2 linked regions of the Daphnia pulex genome follow. The protein of the gene in region 1 interacts with the protein of each later gene in a biochemical or structural test. Links are inferred from orthologs where the notes say so. Each region holds a gene or a part of one and is shown in the gene's direction. Other genes may lie near its edges.

What was found.
Region 2: the proteins of flap endonuclease 1-like (region 1) and checkpoint protein HUS1-like form a complex in vitro, tested with the Homo sapiens proteins (2 studies listed by BioGRID). The link is inferred for Daphnia pulex from reciprocal best matches to the Homo sapiens genes FEN1 and HUS1.

Annotation. Positions count from the first base shown.
Region 1 is NC_060025.1:1,069,532-1,078,919, reverse strand, and holds the start of flap endonuclease 1-like, read left to right. Parts: upstream 1-4,163; 5' UTR 4,164-4,274; intron 4,275-4,325; 5' UTR 4,326-4,433; coding exon 4,434-4,515; intron 4,516-4,573; coding exon 4,574-4,676; intron 4,677-4,737; coding exon 4,738-4,904; intron 4,905-4,996; coding exon 4,997-5,106; intron 5,107-5,163; coding exon 5,164-5,367; intron 5,368-5,426; coding exon 5,427-5,645; intron 5,646-5,720; coding exon 5,721-5,924; intron 5,925-6,000; coding exon 6,001-6,057; 3' UTR 6,058-6,798; intron 6,799-6,881; exon of another isoform or gene 6,882-6,977; 3' UTR 6,978-7,170; intron 7,171-7,234; 3' UTR 7,235-7,322; intron 7,323-7,382; 3' UTR 7,383-7,654; intron 7,655-7,719; 3' UTR 7,720-7,804; intron 7,805-7,871; 3' UTR 7,872-8,107; intron 8,108-8,176; 3' UTR 8,177-8,514; intron 8,515-8,578; 3' UTR 8,579-8,621; exon of another isoform or gene 8,622-8,694; 3' UTR 8,695-9,388. UniProt on the Homo sapiens protein: Structure-specific nuclease with 5'-flap endonuclease and 5'-3' exonuclease activities involved in DNA replication and repair.
Region 2 is NC_060024.1:9,948,804-9,957,648, reverse strand, and holds checkpoint protein HUS1-like, read left to right. Parts: upstream 1-3,440; 5' UTR 3,441-3,541; coding exon 3,542-3,593; intron 3,594-3,686; coding exon 3,687-3,893; intron 3,894-3,954; coding exon 3,955-4,067; intron 4,068-4,143; coding exon 4,144-4,251; intron 4,252-4,318; coding exon 4,319-4,493; intron 4,494-4,553; coding exon 4,554-4,643; intron 4,644-4,711; coding exon 4,712-4,800; 3' UTR 4,801-4,908; coding exon of another isoform or gene 4,909-4,986; 3' UTR 4,987-5,117; downstream 5,118-8,845. Other genes in the region: uncharacterized protein LOC124200064, read right to left, coding at 1-175, 239-433, 499-772, 889-1,224, 1,290-1,522, 1,585-1,801, 1,866-2,043, 2,131-2,964 and 1 more; probable 26S proteasome non-ATPase regulatory subunit 3, read right to left, coding at 4,909-4,986, 5,210-5,575, 5,639-5,887, 5,957-6,070, 6,135-6,246, 6,308-6,507, 6,565-6,833, 7,072-7,174; 39S ribosomal protein L9, mitochondrial-like, read left to right, coding at 7,670-7,750, 7,927-8,086, 8,148-8,326, 8,389-8,589, 8,652-8,840. UniProt on the Homo sapiens protein: Component of the 9-1-1 cell-cycle checkpoint response complex that plays a major role in DNA repair. The 9-1-1 complex is recruited to DNA lesion upon damage by the RAD17-replication factor C (RFC) clamp loader complex.

The DNA of each region.
Region 1 (9,388 bases):
TTTCTGCTGTCATGGCACCATGCTCCGTTGCCCAGACCCGCGTTGGTTATATAATCTTGACGTCGTTTTCGTGTGAGAGCTGCGCTACATATAGGGCTGGCCTTATTTGAGTCGAAAGTTGGACAATAAACGAGAAGCGCCTAAACAAACTGTGAATATTGCAAAGCATATAGCCAGTATCAGAGCGCTGCGCGGTGACAGGGCATGGCAAACGAGTTTTCTCCCCCCAGCAACTAATCTGGCAATTTATTCATCATTTCTTCTCTATTTTTTTTTATTTTTATAAAAACCTCGCTCTCTTCCTTCCATCCTTTTGATGCAGACTGTTTGGTATCACACGGGCGGATGGACTCGATCAAAATTCAGAGTGGCACCTGTGATTGAAAAGGAACGAAGTTATAGCCGGTCGTCCGCCGCGCTAGCTGCTCGCATTTTAGACGAAAAAGCGACGAACCAAGGCAAAACGACCAGAAAAAATAAACATAGAAATGCAATTATATATATGTATATATACCGAACGCTCTGCAGTCACAACAAACTGTCGTCGTCGTAGCCGCGTTCCACATTTCCCGGCGAATCGACCCAGATTGTGATGTTGTTACAGCCCCAGCACATGGACGAAAACCCCCACAGGATATAATAATATATACCATTTCCTAATATACTAAATACGACAGCGGAGGGCCGGAATACATCCGTCAAAACTGATTTCTTCTAAATTTTTTCGCTTTCTTTATAATTGAATTTTAAAATCTCTGTCAAGTTTCAGTTTGCTGGTCTATTTTCATCCCCCTTGTCAGGTGCAGTTTATATTACATACGAATGAGACTGGGGCTCTCGACTCCATTTGGGTTGCACGAGATTCTCATTGGTGGATGGATGCTGAATATATCCTACTGGGCGATCCGCTGTTGTCGCCAAACTTATATTCCCCGTCGTTTTCCTCTTCCCCGCCTCTTCCCAAAAGTTAGAATTCGTCGACTGCAATTTGCCCCGGGATTTTCGTAATACAAGTCCTCGGTTTTTTTTATTATTTCGTTCGTTCGTTCTAAACTTTTTCCTGTTCCGTTTCCCCCTCCCCTCTTCCATCTGGCCCTATGGCAACCCAGCGAAAAAAAACGAACTGATTGCAATCTCTATATACAGAATCGTTTACACGAAAAGAAAAAAAAAACTTATACTCCCGCAACACTTCGACTCGTGTCGCGCGATGACACCATCAGCGCAGATTATATACAAACGGACGACCGCAACTTTTAGACATTCAAGCGCCGCCGTATGTATACATAAACTCGCGTCTATATACCACGTCAACCGCCAGCATCTTGAACCTTATAGACTCTCTTCTCGCCGTCTCTGATGTTTATTTTAACTTGTGTCTATTTATAGGAGCAACTGCTGTGTTGTGAATTAACACCGAAAAAAAGAAATTGGCGCTCAAGACTGATGGGCTGTGCTGTCGCTGTTTTATCGATCGCTATATACTATACACACCGGTATATTAGATGATGCTGGCTATACACAGGGTTGTACCGGGGTTGTACACACATGTATAGTAGTGTTTCACTCGTTTAAATAACGACAACGAAAATAACGTATTAACGAGCCTCGTTATCGACTTTTTTGGAAAATGCTCGTTTTTTTCGTTAACGATAACGAAATGGCTGTTTTTTTCGTTGTTTTCGTTAATTTCTTGCTAAATTTTTCGTATCAAAACCGTAGAGATTTCAAATTTTTTGACCACCAGGGGAAACTTTTTTTTCCCTCAAAATTTGGAATTTTCAATTTTGGGATGACCACCTACTAGCGACTTAGCGATCCCCTAGCGAGGAATTACGTCATTATTTTCGCTACATCATTTGGCCTTACAGGCCTTAGAAAACTAGGTTCTAAAAAAAAATTGTAAGGTAAACGATAACGGTCGCAAAAAGAGAAAAATGCGACACGTTTAAATTAACGAAACGAAGAACGAAACGAATGAAAAATTGAAAAAATAACGATTAACGATAACGATAACGAATTAAAAAAAGCACAACGGTGAAACACTAATGTATAGCCAGCTTTTAGAGATGACTATTGATTACTACTTATATGTTTGCCATGGTAACAAACGGTCTCCTGATATTTTAATGACTGTGCCATCGTCGTACATAATATCCGCGCATGATGTTCGCCATTTCAACTCAAGTGCGTGTATTATATCTCCTAGAATGTATATCAGCTCATCGCTGTTATACAGATAGAGTGTCTCTACAGATTAGATACAGTGCGTGCTTTCGTCCTCTCTCTTCTCTGCTACTGCTGCTGCTGTCCCGGTTATATATGATGGTGCTGTCTCTAATATGTACAACTGCGTGTGTGTGCTGCTGCCGTCAGCCTGTTTCAAATGGAGTGGGAATGAAACGACAGCTGGATTGAGAAGAGGAGCGCGTTGATGTCGGCCGCTTTAACCGCCACTCAAAAGCGATAAGTACCCGCCGTTCTGATGCACAGCAGCAGCAGCAGCAGAGAAGCTTATAGGATATTCTCATCACGCGCATTCGGGGAAATATAAGTAAAACGTTAGGAGCGCTGCTGGATGCTGCTGGATGCTCTGTAGAGAACGTCTTGAAGATGGGAAACGGTGTGTTCAGCATCGTGATTTTAGACGGAACATGAAGAAAACGTCGCCGATCCTGTACGCGCTCCGTCGGTCTTTAAGAGTCCGGCGCACAGCATATATAAATGTGACATGTGCTGATGTGCTGTTAGACGAATAGATTAGAGGACGACAGCTCAGCAGGGCTATTCCGTCCGAATATTTAATTGCCGAGGTACTTTACCTATCCGAGCATTTAAAAGGGCTTCTTTGAAACAGTTGACATTTGATTTCAAAATAGAATTTATTTATAACTACTGCCGTTTACATGAGAAGATTAGAAGCTGGAAAGGAAACTTGTGATTGACTCAATCTCGTTCTTATAGCTATATAGCCTAGTGCTGATCACCCTGAGAGCTGCCAGGCGTCTAAACATGTATAGGTTATACTTTTAGCCTATAAAGTTGAGCGAGCTGCTGATGCTGGTGCTGAGATATGCTCAGATCGATTTTCGTTATGCAAAAGCTTTCGCCGTAGATTATAACGTGAAAAGCGGCAACGCCCGTTATATTCGCTCCTGCTGAAACCCGTTCGTGCTCTGCGCTGCCATGAATAAATATCAACCGATGCAAAACAGCCCAGAGCTTATGCTGCTGCTGTGCTGATGTCTGACGGGCATTTTGACATGGTCTGGCTGCTGCGACAGTTTTCGTCCGTTTTGCGGCCATTTGGGTGCGAGCGCAGTGGTCGTGGGCCCGCGGATTTGTCAAAATAAAAAGTCTAAAAATCCCTTTTCTACTAGTTATGCAAAATAAAAAGCCAATTGGATTTTCGCTGAACAGCTTCTTTTCTTCTTTTCTCTCTCCGTTGACGTCGGTTAGATAAGATATCACAAGCGTCAGTTGCATGTCAATGAACGAATCGATTTTGACCACCACAGCTGCTGTGCATTGGCTCGCATTGGCTGCTGGCGGATGGCGGATGCGGTATACACGTCGGGTGGAAAGAGACTGGAGAGTTAAGTGTGTCTTGATTCCGCTGTTCTGCATTTATTTGGCGTCAAGCGTTATGGGAGGGGACCAGGGAGGGAGGCGCATCCCCCAGCACCCTAACGAGAAAAGATGCCTGTCAAGAACTCATTAGGAGCGTCATGAATATACCTATACGTTTTTATTTAACCAAATGTCTATATAATAGCTGCGATGAAACCTTTAATTGTTTGAAGCGTTCCTGCATATTAATAACTGCGACAAGTGATGTTAATGTAAGTCTAAACAAATGAAATATCGACTCAATCGATGTTGCGAAATTCAAATGTCAAAATCATGTCAAAATCAAAAATGCCAAATCAACGACTAGGCTAGGCGACTAGGCAAATGACAATATAAAATAGTCTGACATGCTAATTATTTAGGGTATAATATTCTATAGAAACGGTTAATTAAGAGAAATTTAGACGGGAAAGTCGCTTTCAGCCGTTAAATCGCTTGCGCTAGCCCGCCTAGCCAGCAGATGGTTCTATCTCCGCCGCTAGATGCCGTCCGTGAGGCGGTATTATTATTGGGTTTGGCAACGCTGCATTCAGCTTTGCTGCTTCGTCTACTTTTTGGCGCCTTTTCCGTGACACAATTCGTGTTCTGCAGTCTTCCGGAGCTACTTTCTTATTTATTCATTTAAGATACACATACAATTTCATAACGTCTGTTGACTCGGAGCCCCATCAATCATAAAAAAAAAAAAAAAAAAAAACGTCTGTTGAAAATACTGGCATCAGTTTGATTTTAGAGAAAACAGAATTGAAGTTTCATAATAGTTCTTAAATCCTAGTTTCACCATTCGATTCTCACTGCTCAGAATGGGTATTAAAGGGCTGACCCAAGTGATTGGAGATACTGCTCCTACTGCCATTAAAGAAAATGAAATTAAGAACTATTTCGGTATCTTGTTAAATAATTCATCATGTAAATACCTGTAACCCTATTTGTGTTCTTTCAGGCAGAAAAGTTGCCATTGATGCTTCAATGAGCATTTACCAGTTTCTTATAGCTGTACGATCTGAAGGGGCTATGCTAACCTCTGCCGATGGAGAAACTACTAGGTTCAGTTTTACATATTTTCCATCCCTAAACAAGTATATTGAAATGTTTTCTTTCATACAGTCACTTGATGGGTATTTTCTACCGGACCATTCGGATGGTTGATAATGGAATCAAGCCTGTTTATGTGTTTGATGGAAAACCACCTGACATGAAAGGGGGTGAACTGACCAAAAGAGCAGAGAAAAGAGAAGAAGCATCAAAGCAACTGGTTCTTGCCACAGATGCAGGTATTTACAAGAATTTTATGGTTGTTCTGTGCAGAATTTTATGGTTACACGAAAATTGGTTTTTAATCTATCTATCTATCTATCTTCAATAGGTGATGCAGTGGAGATGGAAAAAATGAACAAGCGTCTGGTAAAAGTAAACAAAGGACACACTGATGAATGCAAACAACTACTTACTTTAATGGGAATACCTTATGTTGAGGTTGGTTGGCCGTTTTTGCATTGGCAACATTTCAGCATGACCATTTCATCTGTCTAGGCACCCTGTGAAGCTGAAGCTCAGTGTGCAGCTTTGGTGAAAGCAGGAAAGGTTTATGCAACTGCAACTGAAGACATGGATTCATTGACCTTTGGTTCCAATGTCCTGCTGAGATACTTGACATACAGTGAAGCCAAAAAAATGCCCATCAAGGAATTCCATTTGGATAAAATTTTGGACGGACTGTCGTACACAATGGATGAAGTAAAAATGCTCGAAGAAAATCTTAAAATGTTTGTCTTATTAAATTTTCAATTTCTTAGTTCATCGATCTATGCATCATGTTGGGCTGCGATTATTGTGACACGATAAAAGGAATAGGCGCCAAAAGAGCCAAGGAACTCATAGACAAACATCGATGCATTGAAAAGGTGATCGAAAACCTTGATACCAAAAAGTACACCGTCCCAGAAAATTGGCCTTATCAAGAAGCAAGACGACTATTCAAAACGCCTGATGTTACAGATGCAGAGACCCTTGACGTAAGCCTTAAACTTACTACGTGTCAGATCACAACCTAATCGCACTGTCCCATTGCCTCCTCTTTCCATATATAGTTGAAATGGACACAGCCAGATGAAGAAGGTCTAGTCAAATTTATGTGTGGTGACAAAAACTTCAACGAAGAGCGCATTCGCTCAGGCGCCAAGAAATTGTGTAAAGCGAAAACAGGGCAGACGCAAGGCCGACTTGATTCGTTTTTCAAAGTTCTTCCTTCTAGCAAACCGTCTACGCCTTCCACACCGGCTTCAAAGCGCAAGGTTGGTTGTATTATCTGTTTGTTTGTTTTTTACCGCATGATGCATTTAAAATTAATTTGCCATTTTTTATTAATAGGCCGAGGAACCGAAAAAGGGAAGCAAAGGAGGAGCCAAATTTAAGCGTGCAAAATAATTTATTTAATGCTGAAACAATGAATTGTGCCCATTATTATCGATGTAACTTGCTTACTCGTTTTACATGAGGCTATTACTATTAACCATGATTCATCACTTGTAATTCATTCATTTAAAATTTTGATTTCTAATTTTAATTATCATTGATCAGTAGTATCTTTATATTTATGGAATTCCTCGCCATTCGTTCCATTAGCTTATACTAAGTTTTCTCTGGCTAAAAGGAATGAGTTTTTGCTTCGACCGTCTTTTCTCTTTATACTTTGTGTAACTGATTCCGTGAAAGATGCAGTGCATATCTGAAATTCTCATTCGAGATAGTATCTTATTTTCGTTGTGGGAGTTTGAATTTCCCGTCTTCAAATTTCGTGTAATTAGTTATTTGTATAGCCTACTAGCCAGAAACAGCGTTAGGGCCTAGCCTAGTTTGAAAAATTACCCTTTGCCACCTGGTCCTCTAATGAGACATCTATCGTCAAAAAGAAAATTTAAGAAATAAAAAAAAAAAGGAAAAAACTCGAATAGCGATTACTTTATGAAACCTGAAAATTATCTATCAATCATTAGAAAACGGTATTTAGTTCAATTTATTATGCCACAAAATTACAGATAGATTGCTTGTGGCAGGATATTCGTTGTTTACAAAAATGTTCTATGCAGTATAGATGGCGTCTGTGTATCGCCTCAGATTAATATCTCACACTGCACATTCAGAGAACAGAAATTCCAAACATTAGAGGTACTTCGTATTCTAACAGAGAAAGAAATATTTTCAATTGTAGACTAATTTGGTCACATGTGTTTGTTGACAAAACACTTTAGGAAACTACTTGGAACTTAATAACGTATTTGTCTACTTTTGAATATTTACATATTGTTGGTGTGTGTCTGCGGATCCAAATGCCTTTACATCCGAAGCCTTGGAGAGTTTTACTTCTGTGTTTTAAATCGTTCATCGACCGATGATTTGAAAATGTTGCATAAAAAACGAGAGAGGAATATTTGTTCAGTCAATAACTGCAGATCATACAGAGAGGCTAATCGTTGGCCAGAGCCATTGACCTTTCATGAGTTTCCAGCAGACTTGGCAAGGAGGAAACTGTGGTTAGAAGTAAGATTTACATATAATTCAACAAGTGGGAGATTCTGAAAACTAATAATTTTTAATATTCTAGATAATAGAACGAGAAGACTGGGTGCCAGGAGACAAAGCGAAAATATGTGCCATGCATTTTACTCCTGAATGCTATCGAGAGGCAACTGGTAACTGCAATATAAAATAAAATGAGAGATTGGACGCTGTTACACTTCATTTTATTTTAGCATCTGCAGTCAAACGTCTTAATGCAACAGCAGTTCCATCACTACATCTCATCCTGGAGCCATTGCCTAAGAGTGGGTTGACCAAAGCAGCCAATACAGCAAGAGCAACAAACTCATCAGGTGTTGTGGCCTCATCCACTTCTACAGCACAAGCATACTATGTGTGTTCTGCCATGAATTGTAGACAGTACAGGGAGGCCCAGCTCTGGCCTGAGCCACTTTCTTTCCATGAATTTCCAGCAGATCCAGCAAGGAAGAAACTCTGGATAGAGGTAGACAACAAAATGTTTATTCTATCACCAAACAGCAAACACTCAAGCATTCTTTCTTAATTTAGAGCTTAACGAATGGCGATTGGATCCCCAAAGAAAAGGGCAAGGTTTGCTCCATGCACTTTGATATGGATGATTACAGAGAAACAAGTATAATAGCGTTTCAGAAATACTATCGTGAATTAACTTTGTAAAAAAAGAAAACTTTTGATTTTAGACAAAAAGTTGTTAAAACCCAATGCTGTACCTTCGTTGAATTTATCATTGAAAAAGCTGACGGAAAGTGAAATTGCAGACCAATCTGCGGTCGAAATGGACTATGGGCACGAAAGATTGCAATACGGAATGAAGGAATCTGATACCAAGACGACCGAGTCCCGGAAGCGGATATCAAATATAATCATCGTCGACCTCATCAAAGACAAAAAGTCAAAATACCCAGAAAAGCCAAAAGTGATTTTCAAATTGAACATTGCAAAACGAGTTCCTAACCAGTAATTTTATTGTTTGTTTGATTTTTAGCCCGTCGTAATCGATGAGAGTTGTTCCACTTGTATGGAGATGAAAAAGGATCTTCGCGAGGTAGAGTTTCAGTTGGCGATGGTCAAGCAGGAATTGGAAGAACAAAAAAGGCTCGTTGAGAGCTTAAGGAAACAAATCAAAAATTAAACTAAAGAATAGCCATTTGGTGGTCGTTATTAACGTCTACGCTTAAGTAAATTGTTCTTCCTACTACAGTTCATCAAATCGCCGGTGGGGTGATTTACATAAGATTCAAGGAACATCTTGTTATTGGTTGAACCCGAAAATAATTCGCTTCTGAATAATTGCCTTGAGTGTGATTGTATATTTGGAATCCCGTAATATAGAGTCTAATTTCATTCCATGTGATGACTGTGATAAAACTATTATTTTAATTTACAGGCAGCGAGCTCAATGGAGGTCGAAGAGGCTTTGCATCCATTGGGTAAGGATATACCTGTAGCGCACAGAGCATTAGATTTTAGTGCCTCACGCCTGTGTGTATCTTAACCATTTAGAGTTTCCTGGTTGGTCTGGATCAGTAAGATAACTTTTTGGGTCGACTCGTTGTTGAAAATTGAGATTGGTAAAGTTTCCTACACTCTACGAAACTGCGATACCGCGCCGTGCCATTGCTGAGTCATCAGTATAAAGTAGCTCACTTAAACATCACCTAGATGGGTCCATGAAAATGCTGTTTGTGATTGAACCACGTACCAACTGATTAATCGCAAGGGACTCAATATTTTCCTATTTAAGATTAAATGCTTTCGTATCCAAGTATTAGCCTACTTAAGACTCTTCAGACAAAAAAGAAAAAAAAACTTTCGGTTTTAAGGGCAAGTTGACGTTATGTTACACTGTTGCACTCATTGGCGAGAGCAATAAATGTAATGCTTAGATTGAAAAAGAAACCGCACGGGTTTTCCCAGTTTTTCCACGGGTTGACGACCAGAAGTGAGAAGAAAGGAAACGGTGTATAGCGGGATAGAATAAACCAATCTGACGTTTTTACGATCGTCTGTGCGCCTCATTTTGCGCTGTGTTAAAGGATAAAACAATTTGAAAAGAAAGGAGAAAATAATCTTTTGCAATTCGCACATACAAGCTGACTTTCTAAGTGCGACCTGGAGGTATAAAAGCAACCTGTTGAGACCATCATAAGCACAGTTGCAAAACATTCTCTTCTTCGACTAGTAGTATCAACAATTT
Region 2 (8,845 bases), on another chromosome or scaffold:
GTTGCGAGTGGGCTGAAGTCTGGAAATGACAGACACGGCAGCGATAGGGCATCTCACAGTACACATGCGTCTTCTCCAAATGCTGCTCCAACTGGCGAAATTGTGCGAACTTTTCGTGGCAAATTAAACACACCAGATCTTTAACGGAAGCAGTATCTTCCCTCGACATTTGAGACTATAGACCAGGGAGATCATTGATTAACATTTGAAATCATACCAATAATAATCTTATGCTTACCTTAAATGTCGAAAGAAACAAGTGATGATTATCTTCGTGCGCTTTTTTCTGACTTGCAGTAGCTAAAGTATCCAAGCAATAACTACAATGCTCCGTCCAATCATCTCCATCAGTCACTGCGTCTTTCACCAAATGTTGCCTCAAGTGTGCCATCATTTCCAAGTTAGTATGCGTCACTGTTTTGCATTCCGAATGCTAAACGAAGTAAACGTGAATTTTAAGGGATAAATTAAAACGCGAAGACCATTAAAGAGCACTACCTGACATTGGAGATGAGGTCTTGTCATTTCTGAATCCTCCGGATCCGGAATGGCTACTCCTTTACTTAAATCCAACATAGTGGCGTAGTACGATACAGTGCGCATTTCCTTTGCATTACTTGCCCCACTCGTTGAGGCGCTCTCTTTAATAGTTGAGACCATTGGGCGCTTAAGAGCTACCGTGCTCGTGGCTTCATTTGGAGAGGTTTGATTTGGTTTGTTTTGAGTAATGCTCCAGTCTTTGAATGGATCGACTGACACGATAGGTAGACGCCTGGCCAACACAAAATAGTGCTTTTAGGAAAAGTTATATAAGCAGAAAATTGCATGGTTTCCCTCTTTTTGATCAAAGAAATAACAATATACGAAAATTAAGATAGAATGTCTCACTTGACTAATGGCATTCCGGTTTCTGCACGAGCTTGAGCGCTGATATCGCGAATAATATTATGGAAAGCATCAGATGATGATTGCCCGTTGATTTCACGCCACACTAGTTCATCCAAGAACTGCTGGATCGTAGCAGTTGAAAGAAGTGATAGGGTATTCTGGAACACCTTAGGCACCGTTTTGCGGAGGTACTCCATAATGGTACGATTGTTTAGGCGGTCATCAACAGAAACCGTATTTAAATTTTTCTGTACTACATGACGAAATCCTAGTTCTTCGAGTGCCGCACGTTCAACAGTGAAATCTGTCATGATAATGGCTTTCTGATTCACCCACCTAAACAAAACGTGGAATGGTAAAAATTAGATTATAGCAATTGGGGATGCAATATTTTCATTTACTTTGGAAGGGGTTCTAGAATTTTGGTAAATCGAGCTCGACTACGCGTATCCCCAGCGATTGGTTCACAGGCCCGCAGTCGGAATTTCTTTGTTTCTTGATCATAGACGCCGAGGACTTCCACCTTAACGTCACGTCGCTTTCCATCCGTCGATGTTGTACCTAATGAAATCACTCCAACCTCAACGCGGCCATTTTTGCAGCCGAACAATGGAGTGCTAGAATGCACTTCTACCTACATTCGTATAAAATATAAATATGAAAATTTACAAAATATAAATAACTAGCAACGCGTACCGTGCAAACACTCCGTAACATGCCATAGAACAAGCGGAGAAAGACATGATCGATTTTCACCCACTGAACTACGTTCGAAACGGTTGTTTGGCAAGCCCAGTGATAAATGAGCTTTAGCAAAACTGTTGGGGACTGGGTAGAATCCTCAAATAATGACTCACGAAATATCGAAACAAAGTTGCGATCGCAACATTTTGTCATCCAAACATAGCCCCCACTAAATGTTCAATGGATTTAATTCACAATTCAATAACCTGTTCACGTCTTATTTAAATTTTTACCTGAATGGAAATTTATTCTCTTCTGCGTACATTCGCAGTTGTAATGGAACCGGGGTTGATGTCGCGTTAAAATGTGTTCGACAAGTGCCGAATTGCTGACTTCGTAAAAGGCCAACCTGCATTAACCATTCCGCAAATCGACGAGGATCGAGAACTAAACGGCTCTTTACGAACGAATCTAAAAAGCAAGACAAACCGAATGAAATAATTTTTTTAACATGCACAAAAAAAAATAAAATAAAAAAAAATAAAATACTCAACCAACCTAGTGCCTCTCGTTTCTTGGCATTTACGATGTCGGGAACTGAATTTGCCGGACGAACAACGACACAAAGAGAAGGTATCGTTTTAGACAGCATTTTTGTGTCTTCAGGTGGTGGCACACTCGCAGTATTTTTCGCTGGAGTGGCATTTGAAGGAACCGCCAAGATCGTCATTAGCTGACTTGTTGGGATAGTAACTGCAGGAGCTTGTGATGTTTCTGATGGCTTATTTGGCTTTTGCGTGGGAACAGGTTGATTGCTACTAGCTCTTTTGTTATTTCCACCTGAGATTGATGGAGTAACTTGAGCAACTTGAGTAGCTTGGGCAACTTGAACAGCTTGTGTGACTTTTGGTGTTTGAACAGTCTGGGGAGGTTTTACAGTATGAGAAAGCTGGATTACTTTTGCAGTTTGGGCAGCCTGAGCTACTTGAATAGTTTGAGGAATAGCTTGAACAGTTTGACCAACTTGGCCAGGTTGTATGCATGGTGCAGCTTTCTGTTTCTTTGCGGTAGTAGCAGTAAATTGTGAAAGCAATTGTGATGCTGGAAATGGAGTTTCATCAACAGCTGGAGTTTCATCTGCAGCAGGTAACAGAGCTATAGACTGATTCAGAGGCCTGAAAATTTTTGTTGGTAGTGTGGAAACAGGAGGAACAGAAGGAATTATTGGGGGTCTAATTAAAAATTGAGTAGGTCCACTTCGAGGACTATGCATAGTCTGCTGAACCGCTGGTGTTGGTAACTGAGGTGGTGGTGCAACAGGGTTCCGAACTTTAACCTGATATGTAGACTTCACCAACCAAACATTTCCAGTTTTTGTGACTGATGAACCTTCTGACAAAAATAAAACTGAACTAACTTGCCGGTTTAGTTTTAATGTATAGTTTACCTTTTTTAATCTGGTTGGCTTCTGACATGGCTTTTTCATATTCCATCATAGCATTTGTAAAGAAGCTAACTTGAGTTTCACTCAATTCTTCTTCACAACAATCAACTTCCAGATCACTGGAAAGCGTCATCTTGATTCTTGATTCTTGATTTTTATATTAATCCAATAAAACTCACAACTGCAAAATTCTTGCCGAGGAAAACAAACAACGTATGGGGAATGCGAAAAAATCAAGCCAAGGCAAAACATTGTTGCCAAATTTTCCCTATGCAATAATTGAAATTGAAATAAAAAGGAAAGAATTTTTTAAAATTATATATTAAATTTATGAATATTTCAATAGAAATAAATTTTTAATTGTATTAAGTTAGTGAAAAATAATAAAAATATAGAATGCTTTAAACTTAATTTGGCAGTCTCAATTCTCAAATCAAGCCGGGGAATTTCGTCTGTTCAAAATTTTCTCCTTCATTATTGTTCAAGTTTTTTCGTCTGTTTCAAGATCTCATTTCAACTTTCACAATGAAGTTTCGTGGGAAAATGATTGATCCTAACTGCATTAAGCAATTCATAGGTACGCAATTCCGAATTCTATTATTCATTGCTGTTCTAGGATTAAAATTTCATAAGTCGAAGTCATCAATGATCTTCACATTTTAAACTACAGGCATTTTAGGTTGCATGACGAAACTTGGGAAATCATGCATTCTAAGGATCACTACCAACGACTTGTATTTCATTGTCCGTGAATCCCAGACTATTTCAACCTCTCCACTTATTTGGTGTACTCTTGATGAGGGTCACTTTTTTTCAGAATTTGGAATGGAAGGTTTAAGTACCGTTGATAACGAAATATACCTTGAATTTGTTGCAGGTGAAGTGTACAAACAATGTTAAAACTATTAGATTCAAAATTTTCTTATTTTAATTAATAGAAAATGTTGCAAGAACATTGAGTGCCTTGAAAGTATCAGGAACTGCAAAATCAGTAAAAATCAAACTCACAAAGAAGCTTTCTTCACCGTGTCTAACTTTTGAGATTGACTTGGTATTCTTGAGATTGGCTCCTTGACTGACTTGTTATTCTCCTTATATGCATTAAAATTTCTCATGTATACTTTCAGCCATCAGGTTCTAATCATTCACGATTAGTTGTTCACGACATCCCTGTGAATTTGGTACCTAGAAGGCTTTGGAATGACTATGTTGAGCCAGAAGTTGTGGATCCAGATGTAATTATTTTTAGATATTTTTCTTATATCTTTATAAATATTTAAAATAAAACCCATTAATCTCTAGATTTCAGTTCATATGCCTCAGCTCCGTTTAATGAAAAGCATTATTGAACGCATGAAAAACCTTGCCAATATGGCCACTCTTCACGTCACATCCGAAGGATTACTTACTCTAACTGTTGAAACTGAAGCCGTTTCCGTAACTTCACACTTCGATCATCTACACGTTGAAAAGCAAAGTAAGACTTTAAGGTTGTAGCATTTCCACATAGTTTTAATTATCGGTAACGTTTTAATAGAGGAAGATGAAGCTAGTGTCACCATCGAATTGAAACGTCTATCAAATTTTCTAGCTCATGAACAGCTTAATCCACAAAAAGTCGTTTGTGGTATAAAACAATATGATTACATCTTTTACTAAACACAAACCGACACTCATTTCTATTCGATCTTATAGATGTGCTGCAATCAAAATTGATGCATTTGAATTTTCTGAGCGACAGTTACAGTTTGCAGTATTTTCTCCCAGGGATTAATGACCAATAACGAAGAAAAAAACTTTCCTGAGTTCCCTCGATGATTTATTAAAGTGGATCGCAACTTGAACGATTACATAGAGGCTCACATTTACGCGCTGATTTCAGTACCTACAACTCACGGAAAACCATCGTCATCTTCTTCAGCCATTTCCTTCGCATATTCCAAATCTTGTTGTTCCCGTTCGCGACGTTCCTATAAGAAAAATTTAATCTGTTTTTTACCATAGCCCAATACATAAAACGCAGATAATTCATGTCTGATAGATCTACAGTTTCAGATTTTAAATTACACAGTTGCATTTGGTTTCACGCCAAGGAATTCGATATTGAGTAACGCCGTTGTATTCACAATATTGCTTCTTATAATCAACTCATTTTTTCCTGCAATTAATCGAACGAAATTAGTTTGGGGTTACCTCTGCTGATTCCAAATCTTTGTTGTATGCCTTGGGAGGGAAGCGCATAGCTTTGACGCTTTGATTATGAATCTGAAGGCAGAAGGTGATTCGCTGGTGGAAAGCCAGCTGAGGCTCCTTGGTGCTGTAGACGTCAATGCTCTCCTTACTCTGCATAAATTTTCCTTCGTGGTCTAACCAAGCTTCGATAACTCCGTCACGAATGGCCTTGGCAACAATGAATTCAGCATCTTCGGCCGAGTCCAACAAAAGCTTGTGGGCTATGTCAGCTAGAGAAATGCGCGAATACGACAAAGAGATGGCTCTAATCGCAGTCTTGATAACATTGTGGCGTAGACGGATTATAAGAGTATAGGTATGATCAGCCTAAATAAATAAGAAAGTTAATTATATAATTTGGAGGGGGAACATTCGCTTGAAAGACCCTGCCTGGAAAGTTTTTCCGTAGTTCTCTAACACTTGATTGAATCTGTGTATGTCTCCCAACCTGACGGCTTGCGTCATTTGAAAATATGGAGCCAAGGCGTGTCTCATTGTTGACTGACGGAAAATATGCCGTTCAGGAATGTCTCCCATCAACAACTCGACTGTTACCAAAAGCTTTTGAACCGTTTGTTTGAAACCAACTGCTGTATGCTGGGGCGCTTTCCGAATGGCTTGCAAAAGATGAGTGTGAGCCTAAAATCAACAAAACAATGTTACAATTAGGAGATTAAAATAATAATAATAATAATTGTGTGTTCTCACCTGCGAATATTCCAATTGAATAGCCTTGATTCTTCCAAGATAGTAAAGATAACGTGACCACTCGTTGTTACTTCCAGATTCTGGGAAGACAGATTTTGAGACCAACTTGTCGGCCTAGAAAACGACTTATTAGGTAATCTAATGAAAAATAAATAAAAATAAAATAATGAAAACTTACTTGATCATACAGACTGTAGAAAAGATAGTTGCGCAGCAAACAATTGATCAGCACTGCCTGTCCCTCAAAATCTTTTCGGAGAGTACATGTACGTAGCCGGCTATGCAGAAAGCTAGAATAATAATAATAATTTAAGATATTTTGAAAGGTATTTTTAGCTAGTTCATTTTTACCTTCTGATTGAATCCAGCTTTCCAGCAAGCTCGTACGTCCTAGAATGATAGAAGTAGCAACGAGCAGCCAATAAATCCAAAGTACGCCGATTTTGAGCTGTTATTTTCTGCATTAATTGGTCTGAGCAGAGAACTCCTTCTTGAATGCGCTTATTATCGATACAATGAAGAAGAACTAACATATGGATGTATACGTCAACCTACATAAACTTCAGTCAGCAAAGGTTAAAAACGAATTTTGACCGAGATATATTTACTTCAGGTAAAGGAGAAGACGTCCCCTGTTTGGGAGCTCTTGTTCTTTGGATTGGAGATGCAATATCAAGAGAGTCATCCCCTCCTACTAGATTAAGCAAGTTGTCTCTTTCCTTTATCGAATAGCTATAACTGTGAAGAATGATGCGACGTAATACAGCGGGATTCAGTCGACGACGAGTGTTAGGCAACGACCTCAGTACTCGGAAAACAAATCGAGGCTCCTTTGTTATAACAGACTTTTCTACTTGCCTCAGTTGTTCACGGATATCTGTAATAAAGTTTAAAGAGACTGTAAGTTTTTTTCACCAGCATGTTATCCTTGCACGTAAATATTGGAAACCAGAAAATCTTATAACAAATAATTTAAATTTAACTAGTCTCATTTAACAGATGACAATACAATTGTAATTTTTAAGTTTTTCATATATTTTAAAATCTAGGAATTTAAAAGCAGAAGAACTTGAAAAGATTTTAATCTGTTCTCCAGACAAGTTTACAATCCATACCTTCTGTGGTTGCTGTATCAACATCCTTAACGTCTTTCTTCGTAATTTCCACTTCAACCTCCGTAACGGGGCTGTCCACTTCCATAGTTTCAACAGGTGGCATATTGAGAAGATGATTTCGAGCAACGGATTTTCAAATATTGTTTTATGAAAACCTTAGCTTTCTATTGCCTTCTTTTAATGTCTTTGGTCTCGTACTCTCGTTTACAGAACCAATTTCAACGCTCAGGCCGGCAGCGGAAAAAAACTCAACATTACAAGGCAGAATTGACAGTCGTAAGTTGCCAGTTTTACAGTAAAAAGTTACACACGAATGAATATATATAGAATGAAAAATTTGTTTTCAAAAATTTATTTCTAATATTTTGAAAGTTTTTTCTGTTTCATTTACGATTTTTTTATTCATGCGTTTTGTTTAATCAAAATTACTTGGCAAACATTCAGAATTTAGCAGACGGTTTTTGTGACGGGAGCGGGTCTGCGGGGAGCCGGTGATTGCTGAAGCGAGGGCAAACTCATAAGTCAAATTGAAATCCTTTTTCTATTCGAGTATCACATGTTTTTTGTGTGTGTGTATTAAATACTTATTAAATTAAACATGATACGCCTTGGTTTCCAGTTACTTGGTGGTGCAAAAACTTTTCAGCCTTCTCTGTCTATAAAAGTTGAACAAATAAGGGTAACTATAAATCAACAACACATTTCTTTGTTTACTATACAATCAGAGAAGGTTTAGATACCTTTTGAGGAAATTGCTATCTCTTTATTTCTATCTATTTAAACAGAAAGAAGTAGAAGTGGCACTAAATTCTTTTCTCAATATCAAGTATTTTTTTTTTGTTTTGTTCCAATCAGACCACATTTGTACTGAAAAGACGCTATCCACCGTTACTGGATAAACAAAATAGACCCCCAAAACCTCTAGTGACAAAAAACTTTGTATATGATGAAGTTGAAAATACTAATCTAAAAAAAGAACCAGATCTCAAGCTCATCCTGACTTCCTTTGTTGAGGGTATAATTGGGTTCTGTTTGCTTCTCTTCAACAATAATTAATAATTGAATGATTGATTTAGGTGTTGGTCTAAAAAATGAAATTGTAACTGTACGGCCTAATTTTGGCCGCTTTAAACTCTTAGCATGTGGTCTTGCAGTTTATGCTTCACCAGAAAATTTGGAAAAACTGAAAAAAGATCTTGAAAATTCAGATAATAAAGTCCAGACTACACTTCACAGCTCTCGTTTTGCAGAATTGGTATAATCACATCATTGTTGTGTTACTTTAATCGCTACAATATTTCATTTTACAACGTGTAGACTCGACGCGACTTGGCAAGTAAGATTTTAGTTGTGCTTGTTAATCAAGAAAATCCTTGGACAATAGAAAAATGGCACATAAGAGCAGCTTTTCGTCGAACTGGAATTTGGGTGCCTGACCACGCAATTAAGATGGGTGATAAGCCCATATCTGGACCTAATTTAGAGTTAGAAAAGAAATACTTTCTTGTTACAGTGACGGTAAAACAAATGCTCTTGTATATTTCACGAAACAATAGTAATGATATCCATTTCTTTTACAGATCAATAACTTAGAAACTACCCCAGTTCGATGTATGATCCGTCATTGGTCAACTTTTCCGGAACTCAGATTACCTAAGGTTGACGGTTATTTGGAACCTCCTTACGAGCCTATTTTTGAAGACGAGAGAGAAATTATATCAACTCTACCTCTTCCTGTGTTCTGTTTGAAAAAATCTGTTGCTAGTTGATGGCT